Notamacropus eugenii: one gene and its partner. The protein of the gene in region 1 interacts with the protein of each later gene in a pairwise test. Links are inferred from orthologs where the notes say so. Each region holds a gene or a part of one and is shown in the gene's direction. Other genes may lie near its edges.

Evidence for each region.
Region 2: the proteins of RGS19 (region 1) and GNAO1 interact in a two-hybrid assay, tested with the Homo sapiens proteins (2 studies listed by BioGRID). The link is inferred for Notamacropus eugenii from reciprocal best matches to the Homo sapiens genes RGS19 and GNAO1.

Annotation. Positions count from the first base shown.
Region 1 is NC_092872.1:496,030,316-496,037,648, forward strand, and holds the start of RGS19 (regulator of G-protein signaling 19), read left to right. Parts: upstream 1-4,323; 5' UTR 4,324-4,395; coding exon of another isoform or gene 4,396-4,425; 5' UTR 4,426-4,468; coding exon 4,469-4,734; intron 4,735-6,118; coding exon 6,119-6,193; intron 6,194-6,443; coding exon 6,444-6,678; intron 6,679-7,202; coding exon 7,203-7,333. UniProt on the Homo sapiens protein: Inhibits signal transduction by increasing the GTPase activity of G protein alpha subunits thereby driving them into their inactive GDP-bound form. Binds to G-alpha subfamily 1 members, with the order G(i)a3 > G(i)a1 > G(o)a >> G(z)a/G(i)a2.
Region 2 is NC_092872.1:473,622,573-473,629,599, forward strand, and holds the start of GNAO1 (guanine nucleotide-binding protein G(o) subunit alpha), read left to right. Parts: upstream 1-4,024; 5' UTR 4,025-5,120; coding exon 5,121-5,238; intron 5,239-5,602; coding exon 5,603-5,645; intron 5,646-7,027. UniProt on the Homo sapiens protein: Guanine nucleotide-binding proteins (G proteins) function as transducers downstream of G protein-coupled receptors (GPCRs) in numerous signaling cascades.

The DNA of each region.
Region 1 (7,333 bases):
GAGAGAAAGAAACTGGAAGCAGGAAAACCAGTTAGGAAGCTATTTCAAATAGTCCAGACAAGGGTAACAAATGGGAAATGAAGAGACAAATGTGAAAGATGTTGTGGAGATAGTACCTGCTGACTGGATGAGGGTAGAGGGGGGAGGGAGTAGGAAAAAAGAGAAGAATAAACTTGGATGACTAGAGTATGACAGAGATTAGGAAGTTTGAAAGAGGCGTGGATTTAGGAGAGGATAATGAGCTCGATTTTGGACATGGTGAATTTGAGGTTCCTATGAGCTATCCAGGCAAAGACAGCCAGCAGACAAGTGGGTGATGCAAGATAGCACACAGGAAATTAAGGGTGGCTATATAGATTTGGGGGTAGTCTCTGTGGGAAATTATCATTGAACCCATAAGAGGAACTATTTGTCAAGGATGTTGTTTTGGGTTTTCCCAAGGAAACTTGGGAAACATCCCTTCTGGTATCAACTGAACTGGATGACTTCTGAGGTCCCTTCCATGTCTGAGATTCAGTGATTTCTCCAACACAGCTCTGAGTATTACTTAAGAAAATTCCCAAATTCAACTGAGTTCTCCCATCACAAATTTATAGTATATAAACTCATCTGGGCCCTGGCTACTGTTCAAAAACCCTACTCTAATTTTACCAGTTCTTTATCTAATTCCCCATAATGTCTGGTGCAAACCTTTTCTTCTCTCCTTTCCCTTTCCCCCAAATTCTATCCTTCTTCCTAGACACAGAACACACAACCCTAGCTTCCTGCATCACTGAGAAGACTGAGGCCTGACATGAACTCCCTCAGTCATTCTCCTCCATTCCTTAAAACTTCTCAGCATCACCACCCATTCCATATCCCTCTTGGCTTTAAGAAGGCAATATTCTTGTTTATCTTGCTTTCTTAGTCAGACCCCCTCATTCTTGTATCTTCAGTCTTCCCCTTTCTAATGGCCCTTTTCCATTTGCCTCCAAACATATTCAGGTCTCCCCAGTCCTTAAAAAGCCTTCCATTGACCCTTCTACCCTACTACCAGCTCCTCTATCTCCTCCCCTTACTGCTAAATTTCTTCAAAAAAAAAAACAAACCAAAAAAAATTTTAAAAAACCTGATGCTTCTATTTTCTTACTACACATTCTCTGCTCAACAACTTGTCTTACACACACACACACACACACACACACACACACACACTCAACAAAAGATATTCTCTCCAATGTTACCAATGACCTTAGAATCACCAATACCAATGGTCTCTTTTCATTCTACTAGTCCTTTGTCCATTTATTAAGCATCTACTATTTGCCAGGTACTTTGCAAAGTGCTGGGGATGCAAATATGAAAAAAGACTCTGCTCTCAAAGAGCTTACAGGCCAATTGGAGAAAACTACATATAAAATGGAAGCTAAAAAGTGGGTGGGGGGAAGGAGAAGGAAGCTGACCGGGGCGGGGAGGGGGGATGTCAGTCAGAGAAGAACCAAAATAGTCCAGCCGGGTGAGAAATAAGGAGATGAAATCTCCATTTGCAGATTTCATCACTGTTGATTACTGCCTTGGCTTCAAAGATGCCTCCCCCTCCTGCTTCTCCTACTTCTCTAACCCTTCCTCCTGTGTCTCCACTAGTGGGCTGACCTACCCTACCTATGGAATGCCCTCTGGCCTCCTCTCTCCTTCCTCATCTTTTAAAACTCCATTCAAATGCCACCTCCTCCATGAAGCTTTTCCCTAATGCCTCAAAAAAATATGCTTTTGCCTCAAATCTCATATAACACTGCTTTGCAACTCTCCAATGCACCTATCATGTACTATTATGTATGTTTGTGTTATGTTGCCCTCCTACATTTAAGTTTCTTGAGAGCAGGAACACTGTCTTCTCTAAGCTTTGTCAATCACCTATCACTCCCACTACCACCACCACCACCACCTCTTCCAGTACCTCACATAGTACTCTGCAAACAGAAGAGCTTAATCAGTTCTTAACCCCTTTTGAATGAATTGTCTAAATAATTGAAATCCTCCATCAGAGCTCTATTCTGCCTCCGTGTCTTTAGGTGCTCTGTCAGGAGCTCATCATCTGCACCATCCAGCTGCCCTAGTAGCCTGTAGTGCAGTATTGACTGTGTCACTGGCTTCTTCCTCCTTTGATTAGCTCCCAGATGTTCTTCACCAGGCTTCCTCTCCTCAGACACATGCATGCTCACATAGGATTCCACATCTTTGAAGTAGCAAGTTACTGACCCTTCATCTCTGCCTAGTCTGATCCTCTTGAATAAGATATGACTTTTCATAGCCATATTCTATTCATTGAGCCACAAACCACCAAACTACAGAGCAAGTCAGCCAAAAAGAAAAGAAAGGCTTTTACTAATACCTCTCTCATTCATCTCTAGTTCATTATGTTTATTTTACCTATTTTTATGTGGGTTTTATTGCTGTCACTTTTATTTGACGTTGTCAAATGACTAGTCCTTAAATCCTGCACTATACCTATAGGTCAAATGCTGTCTAGGGCAGCAAGGTAGTGCAGTGGATAATGTACTGGGCCTGAAGTCAGGAAGAGCCAAGTTCAAATCCAGCCTTAGATACCTACTAGCTATGTGACCCTAGCCAAGTCACTTACCATTTTTACTTCAATTTCCTCAACTGTAACGTAGGATAATAACACCTATCTTCCCCACCCACCCAGCCAGGGTTACTGAAAGGATCAAATGAGATAATATTTGTAAAGCACCTAGATTGTTATATATTATTATTATCTGCCCTGGTAAATAATATGAACCATTTTCCCCGCTCCCTTTCTAGTTTGAATGTAAAGCCCTCCTGAACAGACCTGCAAGAAAATATGTTGTTTACCAGTCCTCTTTAGATATTATCCATTCCTGGCCATCATTCTTACCTTTGATCTGCATACTTGGTGAAAGTATGACCTCTGTCCTAACTATTGCTTAGGACCCCATAATCCCAAGTGGTGTTTTAGAGGGTCCTTCTAGCAATATCATTCATCTCTACACAAATCACCAAAAATGGATAGTGATCAAGTCTGCACAGCTTCAGGAAAGGTCATAAGAGCCAGGTTCACACACTGTGTTACCCTTCAGAAGTATCTCTCTGTCTCTCTGTCTCTCTCTCTCTCTCCCCATCTCTCTCTCAATCCTTTAATTCTTTGTGATAAACTGAAGAGTAGACAGACAGACATTGCTCCAGCCTTCTCACCTTCTGTTATAATGAGACTAGCTCACACTTTATCCACAACACTCCCTTTGTTCTCTTTACCTGCTGAAGTTGAGATGCCTTGTTCCAGTGTGGGCTTTTGCTGCTTCCTCTTCCTGACAGCCTCAGGCTTGAGGGGGTTGAGGGGGAAGGGGAATTGTAGGAAGGAATTTCAAGCAAAATTTTTTTCCTAGATTTTTTTTTTAGATGTTTCCCACCTTTTTCTGGGGCATTTCAGCTTTTTCTGATACCTAGTGCTAGTCAGGTGCCTCTGATTTGCAATTAACAGATTCTAATCAAAACACCCCCTCAATTGCAGTGATTTCCCTCAGTTGTGTGAGGAGTGCTTCTGAAAAATAATAATTGACATGGATAGCCAAAGTGTTTCACATATGTTATCTCCTGATACACACAATACTCACTGTGATGTAGGCATTCTAACTTCCAGCTACTTCTCATCTATTACTTTCTCTTCTCTCTTTTTACTACTAATCATACTTTCTATTGTTACTTTCTGTTTGTATCTTGCCTTTTCACTCACCCTATCTTAGCTTCTGGAGAAAGGAAAATGGGAGAACCAGCACTGAGAGGACATTGGGGACCTCACCTTGTTATTCAAGGCTCAGGGATGTGTCAGGAACCTGAGCTGAGTAACCAGAAGTCACTTCTAAAGAACAGTCATGAGTGGGGAAGGAGAAGGGAAAGGATTTTGTGGTCTCTTCCTTCGCCCACAGAACCAATCCTGAGTCAAGTACAGTCCACTCTGAATTATTCAGACCAATGAAGGCAGGAATGATGGGATAACCAAAACAGCAGAGCCCAAAGTGCCTCCTCCTTATCTCTGGGAAGCCAGGTTGATCACATTCTTGGCTGGGTATTGGGAAACCCAGCCTAGGATTGAGTTTACTCTAATAAAGGAGAAGCAGTGGCCCTCTCTGCAAATCTAGCCCAAGCTCTCCTCTCATGTCCATTTTTCCCGAACGGAAAAAGAACAGAAGCTGAAAGGGGGAAATTCTGTGCTTGAAGTAGAGGCAAAGGTCCTTATTTCTAAGAGGAGTAAAGAAGGTTCAGCAATGAGGTTCAGGACTAAGCCTATTTCTCTATTTTTCCCAGAACGTGTAAGCAAAGAGTGTGGGCATTGGGGCCTAAAGTGGAAGGAGCACTAGGGACAAATACAGCCCATTCATGCCGACAGCTGATGAGGCTGGGAAGCAGGTGAGAGAACAACACCTTGACCTCAATTTGCCCTTTCAGGGAAATGGTTACAACATACCTTTGGAATGCAGAGAATAAGAAGAAAGTGGGAAAGATGAGCTGCCCAGTCTGGGAAGGATCAACCCTGGGGTTGGGGGGAACCATACACTGGGGCAGGGCCCCAGGCCTCCTTACTTTTGTTTTTCAGCATACAGGGCCTGAGGAGGCAGACAGGCCCCCATCTATGTCCCGAAATGACCCAGCCCCTCTGGCTCCTTCCCGGCCCAATGCCTGCTGCTTCTGCTGGTGCTGCTGCTGCAGCTGTTCATGGTAAGTGTTTATGTACATAAACATGTTTGCACATCTGCGTGTGTGTGTGTGTGTGTGTGTGTGTGTGTGTGTGTGTGTGTGTGTGTGTGTGGTGGCCTTAACAAATGAATATCTAGAATGGTGTTCTGCCATCCTGACACCAGCACCTCCTAGGCAGGTACCCTCCAACACCTACGAGGTGGCTGCTTTATTGGTTGTGAGTCATTACAATCACAGGTAGCCATCCCTCTTCCTTTGGGTAGAACCTCTAAAACTTGAACCAAAGACTGACAACCTCAACTAAAATCTTGAGATTTGACCCCAGTGCACCTACCCTTCAGGTCACTTGACTGATAGTAGAGCAGGAAAGCAGATAATCTAATGCGGTAGTTAAAACACACTTCAGTAGCATTTGACCTTAAGAGTCTGTAAGTGGCAGCCATCCAGCCTTTTCTGGAGCCATCTCATCCCTCTTGCCACCATGAAGGGAGTTAGACTCTATCCTCACCGTTGGTGAACTGATAATTCTGAGAAAACAGGATGAGCAGATTGGGGTCCCGTCCTTGGGCACTTGCCAGTCTTGAGGAAACAGATGCAGGAATGGCAACTGTCACCATCATTAGGGGACAGTCAATGAAGACGGATCTTGCAGATTGAAAGGAAAGAGTAAGACACAGTCAAGTGCTACATCCTATGGTCTAGTCTTTACTAGCTGTGTGATCTTAGGCAAGTGATCTTCTTTCCTTGGTTAATCTTTTTTTATCTATCTCTAAGATGAGAGTTTACACTTATAAGATCTCCTAAACCCCTTCCAGGTCTGACATTCTATAACTCCATGTTATATAACTACTTCAAAATACTAAAGAAAGAAAAGATCACTGGACTAGATAAGTTGAAGTCTTCTTAGAGAAAATGAAAGTCTCACTCAGTGTCTGAGGCCTGGTCTTATTCCTGGGGAAAGAGAAGGCTAAGGAAGAAAGGGTTAGCCATGCTGAGGCCAGATGAAGCAATCAAAACCTACTGGTGGCAGAGGCAGAAAGGCATGCTCTTTCTCCTCCCTTGGAACCCCAAATTCTAGGGACATCTTATGGAAGTGTTGTTCCTCAGTCTTGGGTTCCAGAACTTCCCCCTTCCTGCTTGGAGATTTACTTATAAAAGATATGAAAAGGTGAGGATGTATGAGCCTAGGTTGGGGTCTCAAAAGTGTGAATGTATGTATGTGTAACATGTCTTGAATGTGTCTATGTATAACTATGCACTAGTGCTCCTCTATCTGTAAGCATGTGTCCGAATCCACATGCTTATATCAGGACATGTGCTCCTGTGTGAGAAGGGTATGGGGGTGGGGGGGTGTGACCATGTCAGTGTGCTGGGTGCTGGTATGACCTTTCAATCTCACCATTAGGAATGAAGATCGGCAGCGGGCTTGGAAGACCTCTAGAGAGACCAGACTGGAGACCATCCCCAACTGTGAAACTTGGTAATTCCCTCCCATTACTTGCCCACAATCATGGAGAAGGAAGCTCTCTCCCCTGGGGAACTTCACAGTAGGATTAGCAAGTTTCAGCAGTCAGGAAGCTTAACTTTGGCTCTGAGGGAATTTCAGAATTTTCCAAGCAAAATAGCTTTGGAGAACGAGGGGAGTGGAGAAAGCTGGTGATGGGAGAATAAAGGTCAGATGATACCCTCACAAATGTCTATCTCCTCCATGTGGACTTACACATTTGCAGTGTCAAGCCTAGCCAAGAGGAGGTCCAGAGCTGGGCAAAATCTTTTGACAAGCTAATGAAGAATCCTGCTGGCCGCAATGTGTTCCGGGAGTTCCTTCGTACAGAATACAGTGAAGAGAACATGCTCTTCTGGCTGGCCTGTGAGGAGCTCAAGGGAGAAGGCAACAAGCAAGTCATCGATGAGAAGGCTCGGCTTATTTACGAGGACTATATTTCCATCCTGTCTCCCAAAGAGGTGCGGCCTAGGGCCCCCAGAGAACCTCAGTAACTTCAGTGTCCCCCTCTCCTCCCCAGCTCAGGCTCCTGCCCTCATTCTTCTATCTCATTCCCACAGTCACCAAGCCCATCCTCCACTCCAGGACAGGGTTAACCCTTTTGGGGCCAAGATCACCGCTAATGCTTGGCATTGTATTTACCCCAAAGAGGGACCAGGGTGATGGGATGGATTGTGTCATTATCTGGTAGATGCTTCGTCAATGTTGCCTGTTCCCTGGGAGACAAGCATTGGTCTGACTAGTCCAAAATTAATCTCCCCATTTTGCCAGTGTGGAGTCAGCAGGAGGGTGGCAGGGGGAAAATACAGAAAGGCCAGTGAGGTTGAATCCCTAGAAGGGATGATCCTGTCCAACCCCAGGGAGGGAAGGGAAGGAGAGGGGGCCACCAGTGTTGTGGCCTCTGGGGAAGGTAAGCCCCAACCCCCAAGACTGGTAAGCCTCAGGGTACCAGGAATGCATGCTCACCTATGATCCTCATACTCAGGTGAGCCTGGACTCCAGGGTACGAGAGGTCATCAACAAAAAGATGCAAGAGCCATCATCCAATACATTTGATGATGCCCAGCTCCAGATCTACACCCTCATGCATAGGGACTCCTACCCTCGCTTCCTGAA
Region 2 (7,027 bases), about 22 Mb from region 1:
TTGCCCACAGTAGAACTTTCTTCAACATTGGAGTCAATCCTCTCAAACCATGCGACTACTTTGTCAACTAAGTTTATGTAATATTCTTCAATATTGTTGTGTCTCAGGGATTAGGAAGGTTGGGGTGGGGGAGAGGGAGAGAGCGAAGGAGAGAGAGAGATCACAAATATAATAACGAAAAAGTCTGAAATATTACAAGAATTACCAAAATGTGACAGTGACAGGATGTGATAACAGGCTGTTGGAAGAATGGAACCAATTAACTTGGTTGATTCAAGGATGCCACAAACCTTCAATTTGTAACAAAAAAAAAAAAAAGGCAATATCTGCAAACTACAATATAACAAGGTATGCCTGTACCCCATTTCTGGGCTGTGAGCTCCTCTGGGGTTATTTTACAAATATTATATATTATACAAAATATATGCAGCATGTTATTTTATAAAGTGTTCCATGGGTATAGTATTTTATAAGGACCAAGTACTTTAAATTAAGATAGTAGGATGACCGTACAAAAAGAAAATATGTCAATCAAACATATTTATTCATATGAAAACATCCCCTAAAAAAAGTCCAAATCAAGTCTCAAAACACAAGTTTCTATTCTACCAGCTTTAGGATGAGGAATGAAGGATCATGGAAGCTGGGGATATTTTGGGGTTTTCATGAAAATTGGATGTTCTCAAGAGCTCTTGCCTTGAGTTCTCCAAAAAATAGTCTTTTAGGTAGGTGTGGGTTTGGCATTTGGACTACATGGTCAGCCTATCAGAACTCCACTCTCTGTAGCACAGTTTGAATACCTTGACAGAATACACCTTGACAGAAGACCTCAGTGTTCACTACTTTATCCTGCCTGATAATCTTCAGACTCTTCCTAAAACAATTCAAATGTCTAGGCTTCACAGGCATACAACTAGGAAGTCGGTACAACAAGGTCAGAAGAAGTGGTACAAGGACACTCTCAAGGTGCCTCTGAAGAACTTCAGTATTCATAATGAGACGTGGGAGATTCTGGCATAGAACTACCCAGCATGGCATGCCTGAATCAAAGAAGATGCTGTGTTCTATGAAGTAGCACAAAGGAAAATGTAAGATGCACGAATCTAGAGACATCTTCCTACCAAATGTTCAAATGGATTATTTGTACCCAACCTATGGCAGAGCCTTCCAAGCTCATATTGGACTAATCAGCCATAGCTGAACACACTGTACCTTGACCCCAATATCATGGTATCATTAGTTCTCGTCAGAGTATGAAGGACTAAGAACAACAAGATGTTCTCGTAGGCTTACACTATAACTTCAAACAATAACAACAAAAATCATAGACCTTTAGAATGGGAAAGGCCAATCTAGTCCAACCTCTTCATTTTAAAAATAAGCAAAATGAAGCCCAAAGAAGGAAAGAACTTCTCCAAGTCCATAACTGGTGAATAGTCTGGAGTAGAATCTGTCTCTTCTGATTCTCAGTCCAACGTCTTTCCCAAGAAATAATGTTGATGAATAAGTGACAGGAGGCAAATCAGATCTTTAATTCAAATATAAACTGTTCCCATTTCCCACAATGGAATAATGGAATCCTATTTTTTAGTCCTTATTCTCCGAGGTCCTTTTGAGCACTATCTATGATCCCATGATTCTTAAAATGCATCTCCATACGGGTTAGTTAGTTTCTTCTCATAAGATGTACTAAAAAAAAGGTTCCAGCTTAGTATATATGCACCACCACCTTAGTATCCTTTGAAGAGGGCAGCAAACTCTCTTAAAGAGAAGTGTAATTGAATTCTAATTTATAATCTATGAGGACTAGTGGTTTTTTCTGAAGACCAGAACTATACATGTGTACTCACACTTTAAGCAAACATGATGAATAAAGGTCTAAATCTTCACTTTACAAAAGGATTTACCATAGAATTCTTTATTGAATAGCCTTACCTCCCCATTAATGCAATACACTTACATACAACTTGAATAACATACATGTTATACAGCATTTGAGGATGTGAGCCATTTCATAAATAAGATATGCCTGTGCTAGGAAATATTTGCTTTGATGTAGACAGTAGATCTATATCTATCTATCTACTTCAATGGTCCAATGTATCTGAGATCAAATAGATTTAGGAACCCCTCCCTCTGCCAATACAATCCATTCATGACTTCTCACGCTATGTGATTCTTGTCCATGTCCTTTCATAAATCTTCCACAATATCTAAGCCAATATTCTAGAATTCTTCAAGTCCCAAACACAAGTATTTTCTTCTGGGTGCAGACCTTTATTTTGGTTATCAGTGTTTATATTTCCAAAACAGGAGTATCTGCTTTTATTATTGCAATGAAGCCAATGGATTTGTTTTTAGAACCATGATGATGCCCAAAGGTTCTAGGCAAGGTTTCCACTAATTTATACTCCCCCTGAAACCTTTCCTGATGGTTTAGTTCTCCAAGAGAAATTTGTCTCTTCTGGAGAGGCTATCTCTTTGAACTAATTATTAAAAGCAGTTTTACATGTAGAATGAGCTTCTTCAGAAAACAAGCCCAGTTATTTTGGAGAATATTCACGTTTGTACAACATTGGCTCAATTAACTATTCTGATGGATTGGCCTATTATTCAATCTCTATCAGGTGAGAAAAATGAAAGGAAGAAAGAGTTGATTAAAGGAGGAAGCCATTACAAGGAGAGTAGCTTTTTTCTTCACTAAGAATCTACATCAAAAAACCTCCTTTTGGGGGGAAGACTTAAGTTCCCTGAATTTTTCTAAATTAAATCCACTCCACCCAAACCAAATGGTTAAATCAAAAGGGGTCATTTTTAAAGTCATTAAAATATTTTCTGGGTATGTAGCATTAAGTTAGACTAGAAATTCCTTGAGGGCAGGAATTCTGTATTATTCAAATCTTGTACTATTCCAAGTGTAATATATATATATATATATATATATATATATATATATTAGCATTAATAAATGTTTGTTGATGTTCTCAATGTCTTATGCGGAAGAATGTCTTTACCTTCTTAGCAACTTGTAATGGAAAGAAGTCTGGACTGGGAGCCAGGAGAACCTGGGTTCCAGAGTCTGCTCTGCCACAGAACTCCAGCAAGTCTCTTCTTTCTAGACCTCAGTTTTCCCATCAGTAAGAAATGAGCTGAAATCTATGATCCAAGATCCCTTCTCCTTCTGACAATTCAAGCCTTACTTACCCACTCTGGACCTAACTTTCCTTCTAAAGGCTTAATTAGATGATCAGAGGTTCCTTCCAGCAAGCAGTGCTGTATGAACTGTAAATCAGAGGGCTTAGGTTTGAATTCCAGCTCTGTGATCCTAAACCGCTTCATCTCTCTGTGCCTCAGTTTCCTCACCTGTAAAATAAGGAGGGAAAGGGATTTGGACTAAATGGTCTCTCGGGTCCCTCTGGACCTGTTTCTTTAACGATAAAACAAGGGGTTGGGACTGGGTGGCACCGGGACTCAGTGTTCTCATCTGTCAAATAAGGATCTTGGTCCCGGAGGTCCCTCCGGGCCTTGGTTTTCTCATCCACAAAACAAGGGACTGGACGCGATGGCCCCGAGGTCCTCGTGGCTCTTGGGCTTCCTTCAGACGGCCCGGAGCCTTCGACTAAAGCCACGTCCTGACCAGAAAATAATGGAAAACTTTCAGCTACTACCCCGCGAAAGAAAGTCGTTTGGGCCCTAAAAAGGGCCTCCATTTGGGGGATGTGGCTGGGCCTCCGCTAGCACATCGACTGCGGACAAGGAGCGGAGGAAGCGAAGGAGAATGCAGAGGAGCCGAGGGGGCAGAGGAGGTGAGAGGAGGGAGGAGGCGCGCACGCCTCGCCAGCCTCCCCCTGCCCCCTCCATCCTCCCGACCCCCTCCCTACACCTTGCTACACTGCCTCTGCGCTGCAGCGCTCCCATTGAGAACGAGGAGAGGGAAGGGCGGGGCGGGGGAGCCGAGGCCGCGCGCGCGCGCCCGCCTGCACCCCAGGCTCCGCCCTCCGTCTTCTCCCGACAACGTCGGGGATGGGGATGGCGAGGAGAGCTCTCCTGAGTCCTCGCGCGCACACGCGCGCGCGCTTTCTCGCTCGCTCGCGCCCCCTCCCCAGGGCCCGGCGAAGCCGCCCGCTCTCGAGTCCCAGGGCGAGCAGGCGCGCGTCCCTGCTGACGTCATTGAGGCCGGCGAGCCTGTGCGGTGTGGGCTAGAACCCCTGGCGCACTCGCGCACTCCGCTCTTTTCCTTCCCTCCCCCCTCCCTCTCATCCCCCCCTCCCTCCCAGGCTCTCTTTCCCCCTTCTTTTTTTTTCCCTCTCCTCTCTTCTCTCTCCTCTCGCTCTCTCTCTCTCTCCATTAGGATCCACTGAACGATGCGATCTCTGGGAGCCAGCGCTGTCGCCGCCGCCACCGCCCGCTAGAAACCTTTCCCCCCCTTCCCCCCTTCCCCACCGCTTGCAAAGCCCCCCAAAGAAGAGGGAAAAGGAAAAAAAAGAAGAAAGAGAAGGGGAGGGGATGCAATACTAATCACCGTCCTAATAATCCTCTCTACCGAAGGATCCACCCGGGCTGCCCCCCCATCCCCATCCCCATCCCCACCCTCCTCCGGCTCCTGGCTCCATCGAGCGCCTCTGCCCTTTATTTTTATTTTTATTTTTAATTTTTTGTAATACTCCTCGGAGTCCGCAGCCTCGCGCTGCCGCCGCTGCTGCTGCCGCCGCCGCTGCTTCCCCCGCCGCCGCCGCTGCTCCGGAGCCCCGGCGGTGGTTGCCTCTTTTCGGATGCGTTGCTCGCCAGCAGCTGGGAGAGACCCGCAACCCTGTCTCTAGAGCTCACCACCCCAGCCCCGACCCCAGCCCCGATTCCAGCCTCCTCCTGCAGGTGACCGGAAAAGGGAGCAGTAGCCTGAAATCCACCTTGCGAATTTTTGGGGGGAGGGGCTGCATTTTTATTGTGTTTGGGAAACTTGATTTCTTTTTAAAAGAAAAAAAATACAAGAAAGAAGGAAAGAAAATTAGCGATTTTTTTTAAAGGACAGAAATAAATATTTCTGGGGGGGTGGGGTGGGGGGTCAAGCCGAGCAGGGGAACCGTGCCAGCCGAGGCGTGCGGGCTGTTTTGGGTGTCACGATGGGATGTACATTGAGCGCAGAGGAGAGAGCCGCCTTGGAGAGGAGCAAAGCGATTGAGAAAAACCTCAAAGAGGATGGCATCAGCGCCGCCAAAGACGTGAAATTACTCTTGCTGGGTAAGAGAGCCTTGGCCACTTCCTCACCCCCACCCCTCTCCGCCAGACCCCCAGAACAGCCAGGCTGCACCCTATTCCAAACAACGCCCCCACCGCCACCTCTGTATTTCACCCCTTTCTTCACCCTTCTCCCTTATTCTGTGTTCAGGAAGACTTGTCCTGAGTCCAGAGAGACCTTTCCCTTCTTAGATTTGCAACAAGATAACCAAGCCATTGCACACACACGAATCTTCTGCCAAAAAAGCTGATCCCCTGCATCCTTCAGTCCAGCTGCTCCCTTCCTCCTCCCAGTGTAATCTCCCAGTTCTTCTAGCCTGACACTGACTAGCTTTTTTCCTTTTTTTTTTTTTGTCTGTCCCTACAGGGGCTGGAGAATCAGGCAAAAGCACCATTGTGAAGCAAATGAAGTAAGTCCCTATTGTATTGGGATTTTAATTTTTTTCCCTTTCTTCCAGCTCTCCTTTAGGCCCCGTTTGTAATTCTTGTCCACAAACACATAACACTTTGACACCCCCTCCATCTCTCTTCCCACCTTAGGTGTTTCTCTTCCCTCCACCCCATCTCCCAGGAGAGATGTTTTTAGGGAGGGGTGAGGAGAAAGGATGATGGTGGGGGCTGTAGTTGTGTGAATGACAATGTCCGCCATATTGATCAGAGCATCATCACTATTGGCAATATTGTGAATGTTATTTCCTACTGGTGGGGTGTTTTTCCCTATCCCCTCCCTCCCCAACCCCATCCTCCACTCTTCTCTCTCCTCCCCTTCTCACAGCTGCACCTGTGGCAGGGATTTATTTCTGGCTTGCCTAGAAGATGGAGGGGAGGGGACCTTGTCTTTTGCTCTGGGTGGAAAATCAAGTGTCTGCTGTTCATGGTTTTGGTGCTGAATTGGAGGTAGTGGGGGTTTCTCTATCTCTAGCCTTCTGTCTCTCTCCCATGGACACATACATTCACATATACTCCCATGGGGTGGGGGGCTCAAGATGAGAGAAGAGGAGTGGGTGGCTTTCCAGGCTGATGTGAATGGCACAGATGTAACCAGGGCAGAGCCATCAAAAAGACCTGTGTCAATTAAGCTTAATGTCAGCTTTCTATCTCTCAGCTCTTTCCTCTCTGCCCCCACCCTCCCTGATGTTTGATCTCTTGACATGGGCTAACTCCATGGCACTTACATTATTTGTTTGCTGAATAAGGTATGTTATATTTAAATCTACCTACAAGGCAGATTTAAAACAAACCTTGCAGCCACCCCAAATCTCCTTCTACTCAAGGGGTCAGTCTTTAATTAGACTAACTGGAATTTTGACTATTGATAGAAATGTTTTCTTTTATTGATATTATTTTTAAGTGAAAGAAAATCTTATAATCTCCATAAAAGTCTCACCCTCTTTCTGAATATACACATTTTATTGTTCCTTGTTCTTGATACCCAACGTTTCTTGGGGAGTTCTAAGGCAGGTTTGTTTTAGATTTGGGGGAGGGGACTTAGAAGGTGTAGGTGCAGGGATTTTTGTGCTCCATTCTCCACCACCGATCTTGTGTCTTTGCTACTTCCGTTATCCTCCCCATTTGGAGTTCGTTTGAGACCGTTTAGTGAGGCTTCCACGTCGGTTTGCTGTGACACCTTTACATATACACAAGGTTCCTAATTAGGGGTTGCTATGCAGTAAACAAAAATGATTATTTTTCAACTTGACAGAATAGCTGAAGTAATTGCATCCCGCAGGAAAACAATGGAAAATAAAAATCTCTTTCTTGGGGAGGTGGGTGAGGGAGGAAGCCTGTTTGC